Xenopus tropicalis: one gene and its partners. The protein of the gene in region 5 purifies or fractionates together with the protein of the main gene of each other region. This does not show direct contact. Links are inferred from orthologs where the notes say so. Each region holds a gene or a part of one and is shown on either strand. Other genes may lie near its edges. The genes, in order: bod1, kdm6a, yaf2, l3mbtl2, wdr5, grwd1 and taf7.

The links.
Region 1: the proteins of wdr5 (region 5) and bod1 purify together in Homo sapiens (affinity purification with mass spectrometry; 3 studies listed by BioGRID and IntAct, counting the BioPlex papers as one, with this or other methods). This does not show direct contact. The link is inferred for Xenopus tropicalis from reciprocal best matches to the Homo sapiens genes WDR5 and BOD1.
Region 2: the proteins of wdr5 (region 5) and kdm6a purify together in Homo sapiens (affinity purification with mass spectrometry; 7 studies listed by BioGRID and IntAct, counting the BioPlex papers as one, with this or other methods). This does not show direct contact. The link is inferred for Xenopus tropicalis from reciprocal best matches to the Homo sapiens genes WDR5 and KDM6A.
Region 3: the proteins of wdr5 (region 5) and yaf2 purify together in Homo sapiens (affinity purification with mass spectrometry; 4 studies listed by BioGRID and IntAct, counting the BioPlex papers as one, with this or other methods). This does not show direct contact. The link is inferred for Xenopus tropicalis from reciprocal best matches to the Homo sapiens genes WDR5 and YAF2.
Region 4: the proteins of wdr5 (region 5) and l3mbtl2 purify together in Homo sapiens (affinity purification with mass spectrometry; 4 studies listed by BioGRID and IntAct, counting the BioPlex papers as one, with this or other methods). This does not show direct contact. The link is inferred for Xenopus tropicalis from reciprocal best matches to the Homo sapiens genes WDR5 and L3MBTL2.
Region 6: the proteins of wdr5 (region 5) and grwd1 purify together in Homo sapiens (affinity purification with western blotting; 3 studies listed by BioGRID and IntAct, with this or other methods). This does not show direct contact. The link is inferred for Xenopus tropicalis from reciprocal best matches to the Homo sapiens genes WDR5 and GRWD1.
Region 7: the proteins of wdr5 (region 5) and taf7 purify together in Homo sapiens (affinity purification with western blotting; 3 studies listed by BioGRID and IntAct, with this or other methods). This does not show direct contact. The link is inferred for Xenopus tropicalis from reciprocal best matches to the Homo sapiens genes WDR5 and TAF7.

The regions. Positions count from the first base shown.
Region 1 is NC_030680.2:152,363,076-152,367,018, forward strand, and holds the start of bod1 (biorientation of chromosomes in cell division protein 1), read left to right. Parts: upstream 1-1,143; 5' UTR 1,144-1,200; intron 1,201-2,800; exon of another isoform or gene 2,801-2,891; intron 2,892-3,943. UniProt on the Homo sapiens protein: Required for proper chromosome biorientation through the detection or correction of syntelic attachments in mitotic spindles.
Region 2 is NC_030678.2:55,786,555-55,790,054, reverse strand, and holds part of kdm6a (lysine-specific demethylase 6A), read left to right. Parts: coding exon of another isoform or gene 1-36; intron 37-291; coding exon 292-387; intron 388-1,796; coding exon 1,797-1,901; intron 1,902-2,545; coding exon 2,546-2,941; intron 2,942-3,500. UniProt on the Homo sapiens protein: Histone demethylase that specifically demethylates 'Lys-27' of histone H3, thereby playing a central role in histone code. Demethylates trimethylated and dimethylated but not monomethylated H3 'Lys-27'.
Region 3 is NC_030679.2:64,866,636-64,869,269, forward strand, and holds part of yaf2 (YY1-associated factor 2), read left to right. Parts: intron 1-1,780; coding exon 1,781-1,933; intron 1,934-2,634. UniProt on the Homo sapiens protein: Binds to MYC and inhibits MYC-mediated transactivation. Also binds to MYCN and enhances MYCN-dependent transcriptional activation. Increases calpain 2-mediated proteolysis of YY1 in vitro.
Region 4 is NC_030680.2:116,007,820-116,011,319, reverse strand, and holds part of l3mbtl2 (lethal(3)malignant brain tumor-like protein 2), read left to right. Parts: intron 1-62; coding exon 63-197; intron 198-1,128; coding exon 1,129-1,217; intron 1,218-1,571; coding exon 1,572-1,803; intron 1,804-1,990; coding exon 1,991-2,070; intron 2,071-3,500. UniProt on the Homo sapiens protein: Putative Polycomb group (PcG) protein. PcG proteins maintain the transcriptionally repressive state of genes, probably via a modification of chromatin, rendering it heritably changed in its expressibility.
Region 5 is NC_030684.2:8,199,565-8,203,501, reverse strand, and holds the start of wdr5 (WD repeat-containing protein 5), read left to right. Parts: upstream 1-1,137; 5' UTR 1,138-1,180; coding exon 1,181-1,261; intron 1,262-3,015; coding exon 3,016-3,124; intron 3,125-3,197; coding exon 3,198-3,271; intron 3,272-3,590; coding exon 3,591-3,680; intron 3,681-3,937.
Region 6 is NC_030683.2:114,831,831-114,835,786, forward strand, and holds the start of grwd1 (glutamate-rich WD repeat-containing protein 1), read right to left. Parts: upstream 2,801-3,956; 5' UTR 2,781-2,800; coding exon 2,537-2,780; intron 2,114-2,536; coding exon 1,996-2,113; intron 1,426-1,995; coding exon 1,260-1,425; intron 430-1,259; coding exon 216-429; intron 48-215; coding exon 1-47. UniProt on the Homo sapiens protein: Histone binding-protein that regulates chromatin dynamics and minichromosome maintenance (MCM) loading at replication origins, possibly by promoting chromatin openness.
Region 7 is NC_030684.2:37,700,089-37,703,532, reverse strand, and holds the end of taf7 (transcription initiation factor TFIID subunit 7-like), read right to left. Parts: intron 3,366-3,444; coding exon 3,198-3,365; intron 3,065-3,197; coding exon 2,952-3,064; intron 2,412-2,951; coding exon 2,352-2,411; intron 1,648-2,351; coding exon 1,603-1,647; 3' UTR 1,155-1,602; exon of another isoform or gene 957-1,154; 3' UTR 501-956; downstream 1-500. UniProt on the Homo sapiens protein: The TFIID basal transcription factor complex plays a major role in the initiation of RNA polymerase II (Pol II)-dependent transcription.

The DNA of each region.
Region 1 (3,943 bases), on a different chromosome or scaffold from region 5:
ACAAATAGGCTTAGTGCAATGGGCTTTTCCTGGGAAAGGGAATCGGGTTGGGATTGCACTTAATCTCTTTTCTGACCCCTCTGTCTGTAGAGTGGGGGTACAGTAGAGTGGGGGTACAGTAGAGTGGGGGTACAGTAGAGTGGGGGTACAGTAGAGTGGGGGTACAGTAGAGTGGGGGTACAGTATAATGTATCTTCTTTTTAGCGGTGCCTCTGGTCATGAATCTCTTTCCAAGTTGCAGAGTTTAAACAAGGGATGATGGGAGTTGTAGTTGGGGCACAGGTTGGAGGTATAAGATTCTTAAGTTACAACTTTTACTTCTGGCCCAAAACCATGTTTCGTATAATACACTGCAGAGCGCTGGGAGCTGTAGTTCAGCAGCTGGTGGCTCGTGCTTCTCTAACACTAACTGTAGCGCTTAGATTGATCTTGAGAGGATGCTGGGAAGTTTAGTCTAACTACACCTTTCCTGCATGCAGAGCAGCATAATCCCTTTCTGTAGGGCACAGGGGAAATTAAGGTTTTGGGGCATTAATTAGAACTATTTGTTGTGCAGGGGGTCATGTAATTATATTCCCAAATGTTAAACCAGATCTACTAACCCTGAGCAACCAACCAGACTTTTGCTTTTAAACATGTGATCGGCCAATCATACCTGCTGATTATCTGTTAGGCATACTAGCCCTAGCAACCAGGCAGTTGTGTGAATGACAGACTGGTAGATGAATAAGAAAAGGTCTGGAATGAAAAGATATTATTTATATATTTCACAATTTATATAGTAAATATACTATAATATGTATATATTGAAATATAGGCAATTGTCTCAAAATAATGTTTATATCATGCTAAAAGATAACAAACTTCCCAGCTGAACCCTCTAGCCAATTCCTGACCCATCTGCCTTCCCCACAGGTTTCCCTTTAGCCTCCGAAGTCGGACCGTCTCCCAGGCCTTATAACAATAAGGGCTGTTACCGGGGCTACTAGCCTAATGGCAGCGGCTGCATGAAGAGGAATGTCACTGAACCTGCCGCTTCTCCTCGATGGTGACAGTGTCCATGGTTGTGTGCCCTCCGGCTACTGCTGGTGCTGACAGGTGAGCTGCTTCTCTGCTACCTACAGGGTGATTCACTGGGGAATGCTGGGATACGGCAATGGGATCTGACCGAACTGTAACTCTTTATGGTGCTAGAGGCAGGTAAAATAATCTCTATATGCTGAATGCTTCTAGTTACAGCACTGGTAATGGCCCATATTGAATGTTGTGTGATCTGGGCTCCAGAGTTCCAATGGGATGTTAATGATATAGAGAGTACAGGGAAGAGCGACTAAGCTGATAAAGGGAATGGGCTCAGTTATGGGGAAAGGCTGGCCCAGCTGGGATTGGTTACACTGGGGAAGGGGCAGTTAAGGGGGGGTCACTATATATAAATATATAAGGGGGGGGCAGTAATGAAATAGAGAAAGTACAGGGAAGAGCGACTAAGCTGATAAAGGGAATGGGCTCAGTTATGGGGAAAGGCTGGCCCAGTTGGGATTGGTTACACTGGGGAAGGGGCAGTTAGGGGGGGGGGTCACTATATATAAATATATAAGGGGGGGCAGTAATGAAATAGAGAAAGTACAGGGAAGAGCGACTAAGCTGATAAAGGGAATGGGCTCAGTTATGGGGAAAGGCTGGCCCAGTTGGGATTGGTTACACTGGGGAAGGGGCAGTTAAGGGGGGGGGGTCACTATATATAAATATATAAGGGGGGGGCAGTAATGAAATAGAGAAAGTACAGGGAAGAGTGACTAAGCTGATAAAGGGAATGGGCTCAGTTATGGGGAAAGGCTGGCCCAGTTGGGATTGGTTACACTGGGGAAGGGGCAGTTAAGGGGGGGGGGTCACTATATATAAATATATAAGGGGGGGGCAGTAATGAAATAGAGAAAGTACAGGGAAGAGTGACTAAGCTGATAAAGGGAATGGGCTCAGTTATGGGGAAAGGCTGGCCCAGTTGGGATTGGTTACACTGGGGAAGGGGCAGTTAAGGGGGGGGGGTCACTATATATAAATATATAAGGGGGGGCAGTAATGAAATAGAGAAAGTACAGGGAAGAGCGACTAAGCTGATAAAGGGAATGGGCTCAGTTATGGGGAAAGGCTGGCCCAGTTGGGATTGGTTACACTGGGGAAGGGGCAGTTAAGGGGGGGAGGTCACTATATATAAATATATAAGGGGGGGCAGTAATGAAATAGAGAAAGTACAGGGAAGAGCGACTAAGCTGATAAAGTTGACTTGATACTGCATGATCCACAACCTGATGGTACAATTGTTCTGCTAATCTTATGGGTTTTACTATATAAACTAGTCTATAATACGTATTTTGATGCTTATAGATGTGAGTTAGTAGTAATTATAATAAGAAATAATAAATAAAAAGAGAGAGTAAGCAACATGGCAGCTTTGGATTTGGGAATTTGTTTGTTTGGCCCCAGCTGTGTTTGTCACACAAATGTTGGTTGCTGAGGCAGAAGACAAAGGGGCAGTTATACTAATGAGCAATTCCACCCCATGACTTTGTCCATAATTGCAGGACTAACCCACAATGTGTCGCTTGTGTCATTTGTTTGTATGGAGCTGTTCCTATGGAGTCACTGATGGTCTCACCGTGCTGCAGTGCTGTAAATAACAGAATGCAGAGACCATGTGAGACAGTGTGTTAAGAGATGGATGGTGGGAGACCACAGACCCCCTGATGTACCCCTCTCTTCATGGGCTTCTATGGGCACCTGGTATAATGAGATTTGGGGCAGTAAATAGGCCCCCCAGTATGATCTAATGATTGGCCCAAGGACTGAATAATTGGAAGTTCCCAGATACCCATAGGACATTGCAGTGCCAGGTAAGACTAAGAGTTAGGGTAAAAAAATTGATATGTTCAACCCTATTGGACAGAGGCCAGCTTAAAGGGGAAAGACAACCATTAACTGTTTTGCCTAGTGTCTGTAATGGTTATTTTTTTTTCTCTGCACTGCTGGTTCTGACTCCTGATACAGGATTTATAGTTATGTGTAACTGTCACTGTGTCTGTCCCTTTCCCTTCCCTGCACTGCTGGTTCTGACTCCTGATACAACTCCCCAATACCCATTCATTCCTCATTCTCACTGGGTTTATAGTTATGTGTAACTGTCACTGTGTCTGTCCCTTTCCCTTCCCTGCACTGCTGGTTCTGACTCCTGATACAACTCCCCAATATCCATTCATTCCTCATTCTCACTGGGTTAATAGTTATGTGTAACTGTCACTGTCCCTTTCCCTTCCCTGCACTGCTGGTTCTGACTCCTGATACAACTCCCCAATATCCATTCATTCCTCATTCTCACTGGGTTTATAGTTATGTGTAACTGTCACTGTGTCTGTCCCTTTCCCTTCCCTGCACTGCTGGTTCTGACTCCTGATACAACTCCCCAATATCCATTCATTCCTCATTCTCACTGGGTTTATAGTTATGTGTAACTGTCACTGTGTCTGTCCCTTTCCCTTCCCTGCACTGCTGGTTCTGACTCCTGATACAACTTCCCAATATCCATTCATCCCTCATTCTCACTGGGTTTATAGTTATGTGTAACTGTCACTGTGTCTGTCCCTTTCCCTTCCCTGCACTGCTGGTTCTGACTCCTGATACAACTCCCCAATATCCATTCATTCCTCATTCTCACTGGGTTTATAGTTATGTGTAACTGTCACTGTGTCTGTCCCTTTCCCTTCCCTGCACTGCTGGTTCTGACTCCTGATACAACTCCCCAATATCCATTCATTCCTCATTCTCACTGGGTTTATAGTTATGTGTAACTGTCACTGTGTCTGTCCCTTTCCCTTCCCTGCACTGCTGGTTCTGACTCCTGATACAACTTCCCAATATCCATTCATCCCTCATTCTCACTGGGTTTATA
Region 2 (3,500 bases), on a different chromosome or scaffold from region 5:
CCTGCCAAGAGGAAAAGAACATCTAGTCCAGCAAAGGTATTTCACATGCCAAAAATGTATGTGGCCCATGCTGTTATTTATTTATTTTTTTTAAACCATCCACTTCATTTAAGTTAATTACATGTAAAATGAAGGAAAGTTCGCTCAAATAATTTTTCATATGAATGTGCTTAAGTATTGCACCAAATATTTGAAGAACATAGATTGTTTTGCCTGTAACATATTGCAGTTGGAATACAGTTTAAAAGTGTTCTATTATCAAGAGTTCTCAATAATTTCTTTTTTCAATAGAATACTTCTGATACCTGGAGCAGTGGCCATTTGGCGTCACATACTCCAGGACAGCAACAAGTACATTCGTGGTGTTTGCCGCCACACAAAGTACAGGTATGAATAGTCCTATGCTGTTTCTGTCTCTCTCTTGGTTGTTTTAGTTTTGAATTAAGCACTGAAAGTAATGCAATATCCAAACAACTGTTTGTTTTTTGGGGGAGGTTAAGATATTTTATTGGCTTTGATGAAAATCAAACAATCTTCATTAGCATCATCTTCTGACCTACATTTGGGTTTACATAACAAGAAACTAGAGAAGGCATTGGTTGAAAGTGACACTCCCAAAACCAAAGTTTCTATATTATGCCAGGTAACCTTTGCCCTAACCTTTGCCCTACAATAAGCACTTTTCTGCTCCTATATTGTCATGGTAAGATCCTTGTAAATATTTGCAATTTTAAAGTGGAAATGTGGGCATATTTTAATGTAATTATAAAATGTCAACATATTATTCAGTGCTGTAAAATAAAATGGTGTATATATTGAACATACTGGTCACACACTGATAAGCAATACAAGGGGTTAAGGCTAATTGTACACAGGTTTTTTTCTTTGCTGGTGTGTAGATATGTGTTGGCACAAAAGTGCATTTTGTTTTTTTTTTGTTTTTTTGCATTACTGTGCTAAAATCCATTCTAAATAAGTGCTCAAGCATGGGGTGAGCATGGGGTATTGACAGTGCACTTAAAAGCATGTAGTGTATACTGAAGCTATATTAGGCTAGATGAGGTACATTTCCAGCTTTGGTTAAAGTTTTTGGGGGATATAAACTGCAAGACCATCTGAGCATGAATGTCGGCTTAAGGGTCAACTTTTATAGACAATCCTGTGGTCCTGTGGCTTACAGATGACCAGTCCGTGTTTTGTTGCAGTCAGATGAGGAAGTGAAGACGAGCCAAAATATGTAGTAAATGTATTTTCTATTGTAAAATATAAGGATGTTATAAGTCAGAAGTTCCCCCTAATTTCTTGGCTGTGTGGACAAAAAATGTATGCACACAGAAATGGGTGGGTTAGAGCTAGAACTAAATATTTTTAAGCAAAAAAATCTATGGGTGCATCACTATTTGCTGTCAGGGTCGCTGCATTCTAGCAACCAAAAAGTAATGTGTATGAGATTACAATTTCATTAATTTATTTAAATCCCTATCATATTTCTGTCTTATTGGTAGGGTAATTCAGCTAATAGCAACCGAATAGCAGTTTACATTTAAAGCCTGAAAACACAAACACATTTTTTATTAAAATTCTAAAAAAATAATGCTTAAAACCAATGTTTACTACCCTGTGTATCTAAACTTATCTTCACACCAGTTGATCTTTTAGACCTCAGGATGTTTGAAAATAGTTTTTATGGAATACTTATAGTAAACATATTACAATATAGTATTGATTTAAAGATTAGCATTTCACGTGCAGATTTTGTGTCTTACACCATGTAAAATTAACTTATCTGATTTTAGCAATTGGAACAGCTACGAGCAAACAGGAATAATCTGAATCCAGCACAAAAAGCGGCGTTGGAGCAGTTGGAGGCTCAGTTTGTCTTAATGCAGCAGCAACAGCAGGTAGATGCTTCTGTACTCAAATAATGCAGATCTGCAGATTTCTACTGCAGCTGTATTTTCCAAAGTTTTTGCATTCAACACCTTGGTCCCTCTGAGGCCCAGCATTTAGTTAGTGCCTGCTTGACTCCTCTCAAAGTTAGATATTTGAAAATATAAGTGGTTTTGTCATACTGCTATAGTGCTGTCAGTATCTATTTAAAGGGTTTACTCGATATTCCACCCTGTCAGGCCTTTAGGATCTAGGTCTAATTTTAGTCTGGATTTTGGCAAAAATTTTGGCACCCTAAATGACCAGCCCCACAGTTTGCAAATCTATAATGGAGGTCTATACAGTTTTTTGTAATTACAATGCCATGTATAATTGCATAAAATATATTTTTAGGATTTGACAGAATAGTATTTTCCTTTGCCTTATCTAATCCTTAACTTATTCCATTATTCTTAAGTATTTCAACCATACGAAACTGGCATTTAAGCCATTAGATTTATTTACCACAGTTATCACTAAAAGGATTACAAATGTGTTGCACTCATACAGCACTTTATTTCAGTAGTGACTTTTAGGTTTACTTACTGATTAGAGGAATTTATTTCCATTTGCCTAAATGATCATCATCATATTTTTTTATATTTTTTTCTAACAGATGAGACAAACTGGACTTTCACAGGTACGTTCTACTGGAATTGCTAACGGGCCAACTGCTGACTCAACACTGCCTACAAACTCACTCACTGGTCAGCAACATCAGGTTGCATTAACCAGGATGCCTAATGCCGCTCAGCCTGGAATCCGTCCGGCTTGCCCTGCGCAGCCTGTGGCTAATGGACCATTTCCAGTAGGCCAAGTTTCCTGCAGTACCACAGGGCCAGTGGGCAGTGCAGACACTATGTTGATAGGCAATAATCATATTACGGGAAATGGAAGTAATGGAAATGTGCCTTACCCGCAGCGAAACGCACTCGCACTACCTCATAACCGCACAAACCTGACCAGCAGCGCAGAGGAGCCGTGGAAAAACCAACTAACTAACTCCACTCAGGTAAGAGATCTTGAGCTTTCTGTACCTTGCAAGGAAATAAGCTTTCAGAATATTTCTAATGTAGTGCTTCAGTGGTATATTATTAAGCAGATGTAAAGTTCTGCCCATTATGTTAGACATCTGCTCACGCTAGCCTTTATAGATTGCGTCTTTGCCTAACTATATTACAAATATTTTTTATTTTGCATAGTCTATCCATTTTATCCAGTTTAATTTTTACACTGAACTGTTCCTTTAACTTTTGCTTTTCAGTCTACAGACAATAAATTATTATGAGAGAATTGTGTGTTCTATATAATCATTTCCTCACTGCATATTTGTTGGTGCGCAAGATTTTTTTTTGTTTGAGATTATGGAAAAATATTTCTAATACTTATACACGTGTGTAATTAACACTGTTCAGACAATACTAAAGATATGGAGGGCAAACCAGTTATGTGCTTAAAATTAGGTAATACTATTAAGGTCTAGCTGCACAGGTAATCTGTATTTCCTTAGACCCCAGTGGGGAAAACAGTACAAAACTTTATATTATAGATAAACCAATGTGCCCTGAATC
Region 3 (2,634 bases), on a different chromosome or scaffold from region 5:
TCACCTCCATTTAACCCATAATATTCTGTGAATATATTTAGTGCACACAATGAAATGTAGTAGTTTTCAATCCAGATAGAGCAACTAAAATCCAGTAGGATCATTGGATTGTCTGTTGAAAGTGATTCCTGATTATCCTCCTGTGTAAGAACTAAAGTAATTGTATTCTAAACAGTTTGTAATTTTTCTGCTACTAAAGGCCCCCATACATGGGCCGATATCGGTCCCTTGGACCGACTCGGCAGCTTATCTGCCCCTGTAGGGGCAGAAACGAGCGGACTGGCTGAACGATATCTGGCCTGAAATTGGCCAGATATCGATCGGCCAGGTTAAAAGATTCAGTCGGATCGGGGGTCCCTGAACCAAACGATCGGATTATTTATTTTTTTTTAACTTCTAGCTCCCCGATATCGCCCACCCGTAGGTGGGGATACCGGGGGAAGATCCGCTCGCTTGGCGATCTCGCCAAACGAGCGGATCTTACCGTGTATGGGGACCATTAAATGTGGCCCTATAGCCCAATTTCAGCTTGAATGGCTGGTTTCATGACAGCTAATATATATAAGCAGTTGTACGGCTTCTAAAGCAAACACACACAGTAAGATACATTATATTTAAAGGGGACTTACATCCTTGTTTTTAAATTTACATTGCTTAAAAATTTTGTACTGTTCACAGAGACAGCTCTTGGCATTTTGTCACAATTTTTTCCAGTTGCGTAAGTCGAAATTCCCATAAATCAGTAATTATGTGAGCAATGTGTAAGAGAGAGAATTAGTTTACAAATTTACAAAGACCACTTATGAAAATAGCTAGAATCTTGGTCATAAAACATGGAAAACCTGCTGTTTTTGAGAAAAGAAAGGAGGTTCTATTAATACACCTTTGTATGCAAGGACAAAATTACTTTCTCAAACAATGCCCTCTTATGTATTTTTTCCTTGTAACCATAGAAGATATTTCCATTTAAAGAAAGATTCGTCCAAATACCAAACTGATGTGTTTGTGACAAAAAGTCACTTGAATTTTGGGATTGGTTTGGCCTGACGCATGAATTTGGCCAAATCAGAATCCTGCTGAGAAAGACTGAATCCTGGATACGGTGCATCCCTAGTTTTAAACAAACTAGTGATGCAAACTCCACCCACAAAGCTAAATTATTGACTGGGGAACGCAGTCCTTTTCTTGAAAATGGCATTTTGGTATGAAATTAGTTCTGTGAGCCCCAAAATCATTAATTTATAGTTCATTCCCTTATATCATAGTGTCTCTTTCCTGCAGTTTCTGGTTGTATGACTGGGGTACACAGATAATCTGTACTTGCCAAGGAAAATGTATGGATAAAACAGGCAGCAGAAAAAACAGCAATGAGAGAGGTTTTAAAATTCAATTATGTGGCCATCTGAAACTGCAGAATCTAGGGTGCAATGTGTGCTTCAAGGAAGACAGAACAGACTACAAAATGAGCTGCTAGAAAATTATTTCCCCCAAAGAAAACAATGTAATTCAGTGATCAGACCTTAAACATACTTTTTAAATTGGTACAAATGCAGCTGTACCAATACAGGCCTTTTTTGTTTTAATATGCATTCAGTTGGTTATATGAATATGATGATTCATTTCTGTTTACAAATTTCTTAAAACACTGCTTTTCCCTTCCCTCTTCAATTCCCACTTGATCCTTTTGAGAAAGCAATTTTTTACTTTTTAATATACAGGTTTCCACATTTTAAGCATTGCCGTAAAAGTACAATTGCAAATTTTCATTTTTTCCTTATAGAAAACCTCGACCTGTTTCCCAGTTGGTTGCACAACAAGTAACCCAGCAGTTTGTGCCTCCCATGCAAACAAAGAAAGAGAAAAAAGATAAAATTGAGAAGGAAAAGAGTGAAAAGGAAACCATGATCAAGAAGAATAGCCATAAGAAGACAAGGTATTTTTTTTATAAATTAGCTTGTACACAGCAGAATTCTAAGATTATTTGCAATTGGCCTTTCTATATTTTTTTTTGTGATTTTTAAAATAGATACAAAAAGCTCCACCTTTAAACTGCTAACTGGTTGCAGCAAGTCAGCATTCAGGAAGATCAGTAAGAGAGGGCCAAAAAAGAATGACAAATATGAATAAAACAATTTAACCCTTGGTTGGCGGGGGTCAGTGACTGTGACAAGAAGCTAGCCTTTTCATTTTGAAACCATTTTCACAACAGTTTAAAATAAATAATGAAAACCAATTGTAAAGTTGCTTTGAGTAGGTTGCTCTGTAACCATACTGATGTATTTGATCTGTAATTCTCTTGCGCTGTCACTGCCTTTTTTATTTTTGCAGTGGTTAACACTAGGTATAGTGGAATGTCTCTTACAGCACTTACTCAATTGACTTATTGCCAGCAGATACATATATCTGCAGCTTTCTCACATTTCTAGACTACAGACAAATATTTAGTCAAGTCATTCAGTTTTTATTCAAGTAATTCAATATTTTCATTGCAGTGATTATTTTCTGTGTACTGTTCTTGGGAAGTCACTACTGCAATGTCAGTTGTTCATCATATAGTCAGCTTTGACATGAAACCATGGATGAATCTCAACATTATTGCTGTAATAAAGTAGCTCTCTAGAGCTATAACCACAA
Region 4 (3,500 bases), on a different chromosome or scaffold from region 5:
CAAATTTTTTATATGATATATGTTCTTGCATGTACCTAAAACTGCAATGCTTATTCCTTTAGGTTACAAGGCTTTACTTCAGTATGAAGGTTTTGAAGAAGACTCGAGCCATAACTACTGGTGCAACTTGGGAACAGTGGAAATTCATCCCATTGGATGGTGTGCAGTAAACAGCAAAATATTGGTTCCACCCCAGTGTATGAAATATTTCACAGAATAAAAAAAAGTTTTGTGTGTGTTAGTATGGGTGTTTTCTAAAGACAGCTGTACTTCCAGTCATGTCTATGGAGAGAACTGAAAGGGTGAGGCAACAGATGTATATGAGGCTTCCTGAGCGGAGTTGTTAATCCTGAAATGTGTGCTTTTACCATGGTTCTTTTCGGTGAGGGCAGTGAGATTGTGGAATGCCCTGCGGATGATGCTGTGATGGCAGACTCTGGTAATGCCTTAGTGCCTAATAAGATTATCAGTACCCGTATATAAATGATCTGTATCTTCTAAAATACATTTTCACTATATGATATTACTGGTTCTTTATGCTGGTGGGCTTGGGGGTTTGGGTCTGTTATTGGTAATCATGGTCTCAACTTATTGTGGCCTTGGGCAAAACCTCTGTGCCCAGGATATCAAACTCATATTAGGCTATGTGGATACGTAACGGGGTTGTTTGTCTTTAAAATAATGTTTTGCATGATGTAGAGAGTGCTATTCTGTGATAATTGTTTTATTATTTGTGTTTGTTTAGTTATTTAGCTTTATATTCAGCTGGTTGCTGTGGTCTAAATTAACCTTACAGCCAGGCATTGATTTTAATGAGAGGCTGGAATTTGAATAGGAGATGGCCTTAATATAACGATAAGTACTTAATTGTAGCATTTTTTGCTGGGGTCGGTGACTCCCCCCCAATTGAAATCTGGTGAGAGTCAGAAGAAGAAAGCAAATAATTCAGAAACTATCTATAAAAAAAGAAAAAGTCCAATCAAAAAGTTATTTGAAAGTCAACCAGCCCCTTAATTAGTATCTTGTACAAAAGAAAATACCTATAACACATGGTATAGAAAGCAAAAAAGAGAACTTCAAATTACCCAGAAACTGAAGATGATTTTCACATGTTTTCTTACCTTGCAGCCATCCTTTCAAAGTTTACAGACTGGAGAGAATACCTTATGAAGAAATTGGTCGGCTCCCATACCATACCTGCGGATTTCCATGTCAAGGTTATCTAAACAGATGCAGAAATGTGTATTTGTCCCTTGTTTACATATATAGACTTGTGAAGAAGGAACAGAGGCATGTGTTTCTAAGATCCTTGGATAGCAAGTGGGACCAATAGGGTTGGACCACTAGGAGGGAGGTGTTTGGGGGCACCTTGATGATATAATGGTAAAGTCTGTAATTGCCCATTTACATTATGAATAATAATATAGATAAGAATGAGTCCATCTTGCCCCCGGATTAGGGATTGTATATTTCTCTGGGTCCTGGGAAGCTTTTACTGCTTTTCTTTCATTCTTTAGTCTCCGCCTTCTGTCTTTGGTATTAATTACTAATTCAGGAAAAATTATGTTCAGATGGCAGAGAGCTTCAGATGCCCATTCAGACAGGGCATGCGGTTGGAGGCTGTAGACAAGATGAAGATGTCACGAATGAGATCGGCAGTGGTGGATACAGTAATTGGAGGTCGAATGAGGCTTTTGTATGAGGATGGAGAAAAAAATGATGATTTCTGGTGCCACATGACCAGCCCTTTGATCCATCCTGTAGGATGGGCTCGTAAGGTTGGCCATAATATCAAACCTCCAGGTAATTTTTTTCTGTATATAGTTCCTAAATGTTGTATAGAAATATATCTATTGCATCCTTCCCAGCTAAGGTTTTTTGGTTCTTGGTTAATACAATACAGGCTTCTGTCCAGTCACTTTTTGAATTGTGTTGTGGAAGGGCAGAGGACTTAGATTTTGTAACTCACTATTGTATATCTTTCTTTAAGACCTGAAGCGATTTGAAATGTCCAGTCATCCCACTTTCCGCAAGGTATACTGTGATGCAGTGCCTCACCTCTTCAAACAAGTAAGAGTAACAGCCAATGAACAATAAGGGTAACCTTGTAGAGAAGGTGGTAGAATGCCAAGACATTTAATTTCCCAACATATAGGGGCAGATTTACTAATCCACGAACAGACCAAAAGCGTCCGAACGCGTTTTTTCGTAATGATCGGTATTTTCGCGACTTTTTAGTCGCCGTCGCGACTTTTTTGTATATTTTCCGCGACTTTTTCGTCGCCGTCACGAAAAAAATCGGATTGGGTTTTCCGGCGTTTAATATCGCGCAATACAAAAAAATCGAGACGGCGACGAAATAATCGCACAAAATACGATAAAGTCGCGACGGTGCCGAAAAAGTCGCGACAGATACGAAAAATCGCGAGGGCGACGAAAAAGTCGCAAAAAGTTTCCAATACAATTTTTTCCCTTTCGGGATTCGGATTCGTGGACTAGTAAATCTGCCCCATAGTATTTCTTTTTTTCCCTGCAGTCACCGCTTTATTAACCAAATGTATGGCTTGTATTGTGCATTATGTTTTTCTCAGTAGGGCCAGGTTAAGAGCTACAGGTGCCCAAGGTTCAGACGCTCCCATGTCTGCCCAACCTACTTGCCAACTGCTTGCATTCTCAGTGCTGCAGGCAGCAGATGCATGATACTAGGAGCCCCTTAGTTGCACCCTAGACACCTGCTTCTTCTGCCTCTGGCCCTGTTTCACAGCTACAATGTTAGTGGCAACAGAAATTCAACTTAAAAATTGAAGTTGTGTCTTGATCATCAATTGCTTAGACCGTTACTTCCAGCAGAAACTAAATTAACTTTAAATTAACTTCATTTTAATTTAATTTTTTTATTTTTTATTTTATTAATTTGTGTTTTTTCAGAATAGTACATTCTATGAAATAGTGAACCACCCCTTTAAAAAACTTTAATGTGGATGTTCAGTTTTCAAACAAAAATGAGGGGTACAAAAGGGTAGGGATGACCATCAGACAAATTTTGCCCATCAGACAAACCCAGTGACAAGTCAAGACAGCGAGTTAATTATTGTTAAGAATCTGGAAACCTATTGTGAAGGGGTTTTTTTTTTTTGTCTAGGCAGTAGTCTAGCATAGCATTCCTAAGCTTGTATGAGGGCTTTAGATTTTAAAAAAAGAGAGCCATGGCTCCCATATTTTCTAATATATGCTGCTTCTGTTATGTATAATGTGTGTAATCCTTTCTAGTTTTCTCATCTCTTCCACTAGGTGGCCATTCCATATACTTTTAATAGCATTTTCACATTATCTCCCACTACAACTGCTCTTTGCTGGTCCAGAAGTTGGCACATCCCGTTTAATTTCCCCCACCACTGAATGGTTTGGGAGCTTCCATTTGGATTAATTTTTATATATATTTTTTTTATGATTTGATGGTATGATTCAGCCAATTGGATCAATAGCAAGCAAATTAAAGG
Region 5 (3,937 bases):
CAGCTACCCCAATAGCCCCCATACCTTCCTTTATATCCTTTCTCAAACACCCCAGTTACCCCCATACCTTTATATATCCTCTCTCATATCCTCAGCTACCCCAATAGCCCCCATACCTTTATATCTCTCTCATACACCCACAGCTACCCCAATAGCCCCCATACCTTTCCTTTACATCCCCTCTCATACCCCCCAGCTACCCCAATAGCCCCCATACCTTTATATCTCCTCTCTCATACCCCTACAGATACCCCAATAGCCGCCATACCTTTATATAGCCTCTCTCATACCCCCACAGATACCCCAATAGCCCCCATACCTTTATATAGCCTCTCTCATACTCCCACAGATACCCCAATAGCCCCCATAACCTTTATATCTCCTCTCTCATACACCCACAGCTACCCCAATAGCCCCAATACCTTTCCTTTATATCCTCTCTCATACCCTCAGCTACCCCAATACCCCCCATACCTTTCCTTTATATCATCTCTCATACCCTCAGCTACCCCAATAGCCCCAATACCTTTCCTTTATATCCTCTCTCATACCCCCAGTTACCCCCATACCCCCCCATACCTTTATATATGCTCTCTCATACACCCACAGCTACCCCAATACCCCCCATACCTTTCCTTTACATCCTCTCTCATACCCTCAGCTACCCCAATAGCCCCCATACCTTTCCTTTATATTCTCTCTCATACCCCCAGCTACCCCAATAGCCCCCATACCATGATATATCCTCCCTCATACCCCCACGGATAGCCCCCATACCAATATAGATACTCTTTTATACCCCCACAGCCAGACCAATAGCCCCCATACCTTTATATATCCTCTTTTTTTAACCCCACAGCCACACCAATAGCCCCCCATACCATTATATCCCAAACAGCCACGCCCCCTCAGAAAGGTCTCCCTATTGGCCACAATGTTTCCCCAAAAAATCTACAGCCCCACTACTGCCTGTACTGTTACACAATGCTCACACGTGCACAATAGGAGAACCCCATACCACATATAAATACATTATTCTGGAAAGGCTTCTGGTACAAATAGTAGTAAATAAGTAATAAATATTGCTAATTATGTCCTTTTCTTTGTTTACAAACACCTAGCCTGCATAGTGGGAGTGGCCATCTGCTAACTCAAGGGGCCCCATTCCAGTTCTTGCACCATGGCAACAGAAGAAAAGAAACCCGAAACTGAAGCTTCCAAGACGCAATCCACCCCATCCTCGTCCAATAATCAGAGCAAGGTTGGTATTCTTCTACATGTGGAGCGGCCAAGATGCTTCCAGTAAGGCTTTGGGTGTTACTTTTGTGTGAAATCCAGCAGTTATGGATCATTAATCCTGCTTATAAAGGGTAATGTTAAAGGGGAAATATATCCGCCTCTGGCTTTTTAAATATACCCTTAATATAAAGGGCCTCTTATAGGTGGGTAGTGTAGTAGGGTTATAGGATCCAAAGGGTTACATATTCTTTTCCTACTTAAATATACATCTTAGAAAATTAACTTTTAGTAAGAGGTCCCAAGAATTGGCCATTCTGTAACATACTAAAAGTTAAAGGGGATGTCAACCCAAGATAAAATATTGACTAAAGAAAATGTATTTTCAAGCAACTTCCCAATATCCATTCATTCCCCATTCTCACTGGGTTTATAGTTATGTGTAACTGTCACTGTGTCTGTCCCTTTCCCTTCCCTGCACTGCTGGTTCTGACTCCTGATACAACTCCCCAATACCCATTCATTCCTCATTCTCACTGGGTTTATAGTTATGTGTAACTGTCACTGTGTCTGTCCCTTTCCCTTCCCTGCACTGCTGGTTCTGACTCCTGATACAACTCCCCAATATCCATTCATTCCTCATTCTCACTGGGTTTATAGTTATGTGTAACTGTCACTGTGTCTGTCCCTTTCCCTTCCCTGCACTGCTGGTTCTGACTCCTGATACAACTCCCCAATATCCATTCATCCCTCATTCTCACTGGGTTTATAGTTATGTGTAACTGTCACTGTGTCTGTCCCTTTCCCTTCTCTGCACTGCTGGTTCTGACTCCTGATACAACTCCCCAATATCCATTCATCCCTCATTCTCACTGGGTTTAATAGTTATGTGTAACTGTCACTGTGTCTGTCCCTTTCCCTTCTCTGCACTGCTGGTTCTGACTCCTGATACAACTCCCCAATATCCATTCATTCCTCATTCTCACTGGGTTTATAGTTATGTGTAACTGTCACTGTGTCTGTCCCTTTCCCTTCCCTGCACTGCTGGTTCTGACTCCTGATACAACTCCCCAATACCCATTCATCCCTCATTCTCACTGGGTTTATAGTTATGTGTAACTGTCACTGTGTCTGTCCCTTTCCCTTCCCTGCACTGCTGGTTCTGACTCCTGATACAACTCCCCAATATCCATTCATTCCTCATTCTCACTGGGGTTTATAGTTATGTGTAACTGTCACTGTGTCTGTCCCTTTCCCTTCCCTGCACTGCTGGTTCTGACTCCTGATACAACTCCCCAATATCCATTCATCCCTCATTCTCACTGGGTTTATAGTTATGTGTAACTGTCACTGTGTCTGTCCCTTTCCCTTCTCTGCACTGCTGGTTCTGACTCCTGATACAACTCCCCAATATCCATTCATTCCTCATTCATATACTGAAATATGGCAGTAGATCCTCACCCAGGGTTGGGAGTTTTATGAATTTAAGTTGAATTGTTTCTGGTTTCTCATGAATACGTTCGACTCAACCAACTTTTGGGTACTTTCCAATACGCGGCTCTGATGTTTGTAGAGAGATGAAATATAGGGGGTGGGTGCTGAATGTGACAAATTTCAGGTTTGTGCAGCGGTTACATACAACATGGCTGCCTGCCCTGGGGGCTCCCTGTCACTGTAGGGGGCTGTTTTTTATTTTAAAACTATTGTTTCCCCCAACTCTCTGCCTCAATGTCTGCAAAATACATTTCTGAAATCCCCATTTTTCTCTTCTATTCATAGCCTGCACCAGTAAAGCCAAATTACACGCTAAAGTTCACCCTCGCCGGACACACCAAGGCCGTATCATCTGTAAAATTCAGCCCGAACGGGGAGTGGCTCGCCAGTTCATGTAAGTGACATTCCACCTATCGTTATGTCTTTGCCCTAAAGAAACTACAGTGTCACTTTTTTGTTCTTTTCAGCGGCCGACAAGTTAATCAAAATATGGGGGGCGTACGACGGCAAGTTTGAAAAAACCATATCCGGCCACAAGTTGGTAAGAACCTTTTGTTGTTATTGCTCGCGTCTAGCCGGTGTTGAATTCCTGTAGCACCATATATTTAAATTCCACCAGCGTCTGCTTCGTGTAACATTAAACCCATACTGTTTTGCACCTTATCCCCCCAGCGCCGTGCAGCAGAAGCCAATTAGAGTTTGCATTTGCCAGACACCTCCCCAGGGGCCTCCCTAATTTATAGACGGGCTTGGGGATTTCATGTGTTTTAATTTGGCACTGGTTAAGAAATATAAACCCCCTTAATCAAATCCGATTAGTGAAACTTTTATTTATTTATTCTTTTTATTTTTATATTCAGGGAATATCTGATGTCGCCTGGTCCTCTGACTCCAACCTCCTGGTTTCTGCTTCTGACGATAAAACTCTAAAAATCTGGGACGTGAGCTCGGTGAGGCCTGATTGACTTACCGTTGGGAAGAATATGTTTTTGTGTTTCTTCATTGAGGGGTAAAATGATAACACAGGATACATTCCCTATTTCTCTTACATCATGGGGGACACAGGAACAGCCTAATTGCCTCGTTAATCCAGTGGGCAAACGTGGCCTTGGTAGTAGGCAGAGCCTCTCTAGAGGCTAGGCCTAACCTCCTGTCCACTTAAAAAGCTGAGCCCTGTTGGCTAAGCAAAAGGGTTAAAGAAAAGAGG
Region 6 (3,956 bases), on a different chromosome or scaffold from region 5:
ATCCCACAGATGGATGTTCTTATTGCAGTCACCAGTAACCAAGCGCCCTAAAGAGGTAGTGAAAGGGAAGTAGAAGACTAAGTGAATCAAACTATTGATGTTTAACCTTTAAAAGCAGCTCATGTACCATTAGGCATTTTTACCAAGCCTTTATAATCAATAACAACTCATGGGAATTTGAGGCTTAAACTTTGGATAACTTTGATATGGTGTACCTGCTGTTTTTGGAGACCAATCCATTGCAAACCCTTCGGTCATGTGCCCGGAGAAAGAAAACACTGGTTTGATTTTGGCTTGTTCCTCCTTCAGAAAAGCAGCGAGCACCTGAGAGTCTGACACAGCCGACAGTTGCTTCCTTAGATCATAAATATCCACTTGCCCTTTCTCTGACCAGACAGCAGCCACGGGTACTTCCCCCATTGTAGATACCTAAAAGCAGAGACAAACCAATGATAATATAACAAACAGAAGTAGTTAAAAGCTCACATTTGCTTGTATACCACATATATGGATCTACTCGTATATAAATATATATTAGATTATCACTTTTTTAACATTTTGTTTCCCTTTAATGTTGCAGAGCATTCCAGGTCTGACATTTACAAATAAAACTACTAACAACAGTATTGTATACCACAGCAGAGGTCGCAATAGGGCAGCACTTCCTAGTTTAGTGTATACAGGTATAGGATCTGCTATCAGGAAACCTGTAATCCAAAAAGCTCCAATTTGCAGGAAGGCAATCTCCCATAGACTTGTAAGCAAATTATTTACATTTTTAAAAATTATTTCCTTTTTTCCCCTGTAATAAAACAGTAGCTTGTACTTGATCCCAACTAAGATATAATTACCCCTTATTGGGGGCAGAACAGCCCTATTGGGTTTAATGGTTAAATGATTCCCTTTTCTCTGTAATAATAAAACAGTACCTGTACTTGATCCCAACTAAGATATAATTACCCCTTATTGGGGGCAGAACAGCCCTATTGGGTTTATTTCATGGTTAAATGATTCCCTTTTCTCTGTAATAATAAAACAGTACCTGTACTTGATCCCAACTAAGATATAATTACCCCTTATTGGGGGCAGAACAGCCCTATTGGGTTTATTTAATGGTTAAATGATTTACTGAGATCCAAATTACAGAAAACCTCAGGTCCTGAGCATTCTGGATAACAGGTCCCATACCTGTATATCTTTTCCTAAACATGGCAAAGTTATAAAGACAAAAACAAATATGAGAACACAACCCGACTTACGCGAATTCTATTAATGCCACCATAATGAGGCACCATAGCGAGCTCTAACTGAGGCTTCTTTTCTTCCTCGTCCTCTTCTTCGCCACTGTCACTGCTTTCAGAATCGGAATCATCTTTCTTTTCCTTGCTTGTACGGTGCAAATTGTACATTTTCATTACCAGCATCCTATAAGAAAGAGAGGAAAAAGAGTTACACTTCCTTATACAGGCTGGGTGGATTCTCAGGTACTGTAGAACTGACAGTAAGTTCTGGTGAATAAAAGATACAAAGACAAGACAACTTGACCAAAGTCAGAAGACATCAGTTCTGTTCTGCAGACCTTGGCTTGAGTAATTGCTTTACAGCTGCTAAAATGAACAGCTGCCTACTAAGTGTCAGTCAGATATTGACAGTCAGTCAGTCTGATACTGCATGAACTACAGGCCAAAGAAGTGTTGGTCAAAGGCCAGATTATAGTAAAATGACAATGTCAAAAAGCCATTTGGCAAACTGGAGCCATAAAAATCACTTGGAAGTCTAGTGGGCCCCCAGCTGGGCAGCCTTATGGGGTTCATTTCAAATGTTTGATATTATATGTTACTGCAGATATGTTATTGCATTCTTTTTTTTCCCCCAATAAATACACGACCATATATAATTGATCAATTTGTTAAACGAGGTTTTCTTCATCTACTTTTGAGACTTAGAAAATCAGATGATGCTTATGTACCCCTGTACATAATCTATTTCTAGTACCTGTTGCCTTGAGCAGAGTCGGCCTGAGTACCAGCGCAGAGGTACATAGTCAGCGGGTAATCTGTGCGATTTTCCCCCAGGGTATCACGGATGACATCAAAACTTAAACATGGTGCACCTATAACACAATAAAAAAAGAAACCATTTAATTTTCATACAAAGAAGCAAAAAACTACAAGACAACCGTGTAGTATAGTTTTGTAGTTGACATTGCTGGGGTCCCAGGTTTGATTCCAGCCAGGGCATTATCTGCATGTTCCCCCTGTGCCCCCCTCCCCCAACACATACCGGCAAGTTAAGTCATTCCTAATAACTGTAGATATAACCTATGGAAAGTGCTGTGGAACACGTTGGAATTATTTATATACTTATAAACATATATTAAAGATATCATTATAAAATGACCAGGCTGGTAAGCTTGCATGGTAACTTGCCCTTTAAAGAGCCCGGGACTGTGCGCTGAACTTCCCGCCGCTCCCCTCCCTGCCCGACCGCTCCCCTATAAGGGATCCCAACACCGGGGAGCAGAAGGGAGCGTTACCTGTCTGTGCCTGGTGATACAGTACATACGCCTCCTGGTCCATCACCAGCTCTTCTCCCTCCTTAAGAGGCTCCATCCCGGGCAAATAGACCCGCTTGGGCCCTTTGTCCTTCTCATCGTCCTCCTCTTCTTCCATAATATCACCCTCGTCATCTTCATCCTCGCTGCCCGACTCTTCCATACCTTCATCTTCCTCCTCATCCTCTGCGGGATTTCTCCATGTGGTTTCCCCAGTGCCTGACATCTTGGAATCGGGCGACGTCACTTCCTCTGGCTTCGTCTGCCATGTGTTCTAACCTACTTCCGCTGACGCCTTGCCATTACTATGGAGGCGATGTGCAGCGGTCTCTACAGAATGTAGATGTAAAAATCTACCCATAAACCCAATAATAAAATGCAACAAGACACTCCAGACGTTAGCTAATTAGTTACTTGCTATTGTTAGAACTAAACGCAGAATGGTTTGCAATTAAGGCGGCCGTTATATATTAAAGACCAGCAGCAATACTTCTTGTATATGTATGTATATCTTTATTTATAAAGCGCTACTTATGTACCCAGCGCTGTACAGTAGGTTATTCATTAATACAGACAGGAGGTTAAAGATAATGGATAAATACAAAGTACAACAATAAATACAAATAAATACAAGGTGCAGTTGCAATAAGAGTCAGAAACACAAGATGAAGGAGGTCCCTGCCCCGTAGAGCTTACAATCTATATGGGAGGGGAACTTACAGATACAAATAGGCAAATATAAGTGCTGTAGGTCACAGTGGGTGACACTACAATATAAGTGCCAGTTCCCAGATCAGGTGCTGGGTGAGTGCTCCAAAAGGGAGTCTTTAAGTTTAGTTTTAAAAAGACTGAGGGAGGATTCTCTCCGGAGGAAATCAGGGAGGGCATTCCCAATGTAAGGGGCAGCAGGGCAGAAAGGTTTAAGGCGGAAAACAGCTGTAGTAGTTGGGGGCGCAACCAAACGGTTGCTCTGCGAGGAACGAAGGAGTCGGCCAGGAACGTGCGGAGACACCAGGGAAGAGATGTAGTGAGGGGCAGAGGAATGGAGGGCTTTGAAGGTTAAGAGAAGGAGTTTGTAAACTATTCTTTGTTTAACAGGAAGCCACAATAAGGCCTTTAGCAGGGGAAGGGCCTGAACTCTCCTGGGTGAGAGGAGGAGAATTCTGGCAGCGGTGTTTAATATAGACTGTAGGGGAGAAAGATGGGAGTTAGGGAGGCTGGTTAGCAGCAGGTTACAGTAGTCAAGTTGGGATAGCCTTATGGGGGAGTGGGGTGATAATCTGTAAATCAGCAAAGGGAGTGGAGAGGTCCCCAGTGCTCCTTATGAGAGCAAAATGTAAAAATTTTATTGTGGGGGTACTGTCTATGGGGGGCACTGTGTATGGGGGTACTGTCTATGGGG
Region 7 (3,444 bases), about 30 Mb from region 5:
CACTCAGTGCATAGCCATTAATGGAAGGATCTTATCTAAGCAAACATCTGGATAGCAAAACTGTGCTCTTGTTGCTCACCACACATACAATGCTCAAACCTGGTGTTAAAGCTTCATATACGATATCAGGAGCATAGCTGAACTTTACAGGGGCTCTTTATGTACCCTAAAAGACACTTGCTTCACATAGGGGAGGTTCCTAAAGAACATAGGGGAGGTTCCTAAAGAAACTATAATAAAAAAAAATGGAAGAAAACAGTGCTAATCCAGTCACATTATTGTACATGAATTCCATTGGCACTGGAGTTAGAATTTTTTGGTTTGAACAAATAATCATGAAAATGAAGGTGTGGGGGTTGTGATTAATCGTTATTTAAGGAATTAGGAAGTATTACAAGTATGTTTCTTCGCACATTGTATCCTTGAAAATTGTCCGTCTTCCCAGTAGCAAGCTGCCTGATGTAAAAATGGGTTTCACCACAAAGAAGCTAATCACAAAATTATGGGTAACAAAGACTTTTATTTGGATGGAATAATAGGTGGAGAAAAACAGACATGACAAAGTGTAAAATAATCATTTACAGTTCATCTGTAGCTGCCAATATTCTTTTTTTTTTTTTTTAAAAAAAAAAAGCAAAGTGACACTGCCTTAACACTAATGTTACGAACAAGCCATTCGTAAATGTGCTTAGTTCACAATGGGCTCTAACTCAAACATTTGGGTTCACAATCTGACCATAGTTGTTTGTAGGCATCAAAATCTTCCATATTAAAGAAAACAGCTGTTAGATAACAAAGGCAAAATTCTAATGTTTTCTCCAGAAAAATCCCAGCAAAACGGATACTTGTATACTTGTATACTCATAGGGGCGCATTTACTAATCCACGAATCCGAATCCTGAATGGGAAAAAATCGGATTGTAAATGAAAATTTTGCACCTTTTTCGTCGCCGTCGCGTTTTTTTCGTATTTTGCACGATTTTTTCGTCGCCGTCACGACTTTATCGTATTTTGTGCTACTTTTTCGTCGCCGTTGCAATTTTTCTTATTGAGCAATTGTAAACAGCGGAAAAACCAATCCGATTTTTTCACGACGGTGACGAAAAAGTCGCGACAATTCGCGAAAAAGTCGCGACGGCGACGAAACGCATTCGGACGTTCGTGGATTAGTAAATGTGCCCCATAGTGTAACGCACTGTTGGACTGGAAACAAACAGCAGGCAAATAGGTTAAATTATGAATACTGGGGTTATAATCCTTGCACCTTGAACATTCCAGTAAAAACGAAAAAAAATCATACATGTAAGGTTCTTTTGCTTATTTGGACTTTCTGTATTGTACAGCAGGCATTTAGTCACAGCACAAACCATTACAGGATCTAAACATCCTCAAGCAGTCACGTTCGAATGGCCTAAAGTAAAATATCTGTTTGGATGTATAATTTTCAGCACAAACAAAATTAAGGGAGACCCAGTCCTCATTGTTTCCTAAATGGAAGGATTTCCTCTGAAAGTGAACATTCTGGAGGATGTGGTAAAAAGCAGTACATCTACAGCAGGGAGGCCAAGTCATAAATATCAAGGAAACCACATCGGAACCTCTTTATTTCTCTATTAGAGTCTCGAGCTGCTCCTGCAGGGATGTCAGCTAGGAAAGAGAAGAGATTATCACAAGGACTGGTGTAAAATAGGTACTGCTACATTTGGTACACTTTATCACCTCCCATTACCATATTAACATTATAATATATTTACAAAAATAAACCATATAAATGGTACATTTATAATGCCTCTGGCTACAGAAAAACGGGCATGCACAAAAGAATAGCTATATCAAACTATGGGATTTAGCAAGGCAATGACAGAATAATAATGCTTGTGTGAAAGGAGAGACTGTTCTACACTATCCTTTTCTTCTATCTACTCCAGTAAAGTTTTAAAAGCATGGGCCAGCTTTTGATTCTTCTGACATCAGCTGGATACTGGACAACTGTGTAGAGATGCTGGCCCATACAAATTCACTGGGGGCCCTAAGTCAACTAGGAAAAAACAAACAGCCTCAAACAGTCTCAAGATGCACAGTCTGTCATCTTCTATTTTCTGTCAGTAGCGTGACTGTATGCATTTTTGTCTGCTTTTGGGGATACACACTGAGAATTACTGCACTTGATAAGCAATAATTCTCAGTCTCCCTGCACACAGTTAGCAAATAACAATGTCGCCAATATACAGCCATACTGCAAAACACAAAACAATGGAAAAAACTTGGAACTATGTCACAGCATTCATTTTGTCCCTTAAATAAGATAAATCTAAGCAATGGGTCACAGACTATAAAGCCATAATACATACCTGTTGCTTTTCTCTTTCCTCCTGCTGCCTAAACTCATCCAACACAGCTTGTAAGCGAGTCTAAAATAAAGAAAGAAAGTTTGTGTGAAATAGCTGCATGGCCAGATACAATCATCAAACTTGTATCAACCCATCTATAATAATCAACCAAAAACAGAAAGAGTAACTACATTCACCATCTTTCACACAGAGGGAGTGTGCCCAGACCCCTAGACCCCCATGGCCATTGTTTACATCCATACTGTATACCCTACAATCTTTGTTTGCCTGTAACTTCCAGTTTCTGGTATGCATTAGTAGTCTTGCACAAGGAGTGTGCCCGGCCCTTCTACTTCATGTGTATTTGAACATTGTGCTCAACCATTTCTCTTGCAAGGAGTGAATGCCCAGGTTCTCATATGCCTGGAAAAAATTGCTCTTAGACACTTCTTACATAAACAGGAGCCCTATCCTGTCCATCCTACCCTATCTTGCATGCCTACATAAATGTCACACACACATATTGCTAAACATAAAATGACCATAGTTAAGCATTTACTGAATCCACTTATATACATTTTCTCTCTCACACAAGGCAACAGTGCTGCAATCATGTGTTACCTTCAGTGCTACATTTTCAACCTTCATTATAAGCTCTTCTTGTCTTTTTCTTCTTTCCTGTGTCTCTCGCAGTTTCTTTTGTAAATTTTCCAGCTGTTTCTGCATCTCCAGAACTGATACATAGGGAAATGGGATATCATTAAGATCAACTTCCCCATAAGTTCTGCATTCTTCTCTGGCTAAAATATTACTTTCACTATAAAAAAAACAAAAAAAAAAAAAACTTGTGCTCCGCTATACTCTCACCAATCTGGTTAGTGCCTCCCTTTTGACCATCCTGTCCTGCCCTCTGCTCCTCCTCAGTCTCCATGATATTAAGATCTTCTTCTTCCTGGCGTTCTCCCTCCTCTTCTTCTCCATCACTGCTACTACTGATGTCATTAAAGATCTGACGCAATTCTTCCCTCTCCACTGCTGGAAAGAGAGAGACATGTTGGGAAAGACAAGTTAGAGCTTAAGATGGAGGGAATAAGAATAATTTAAAAAAGCTAAT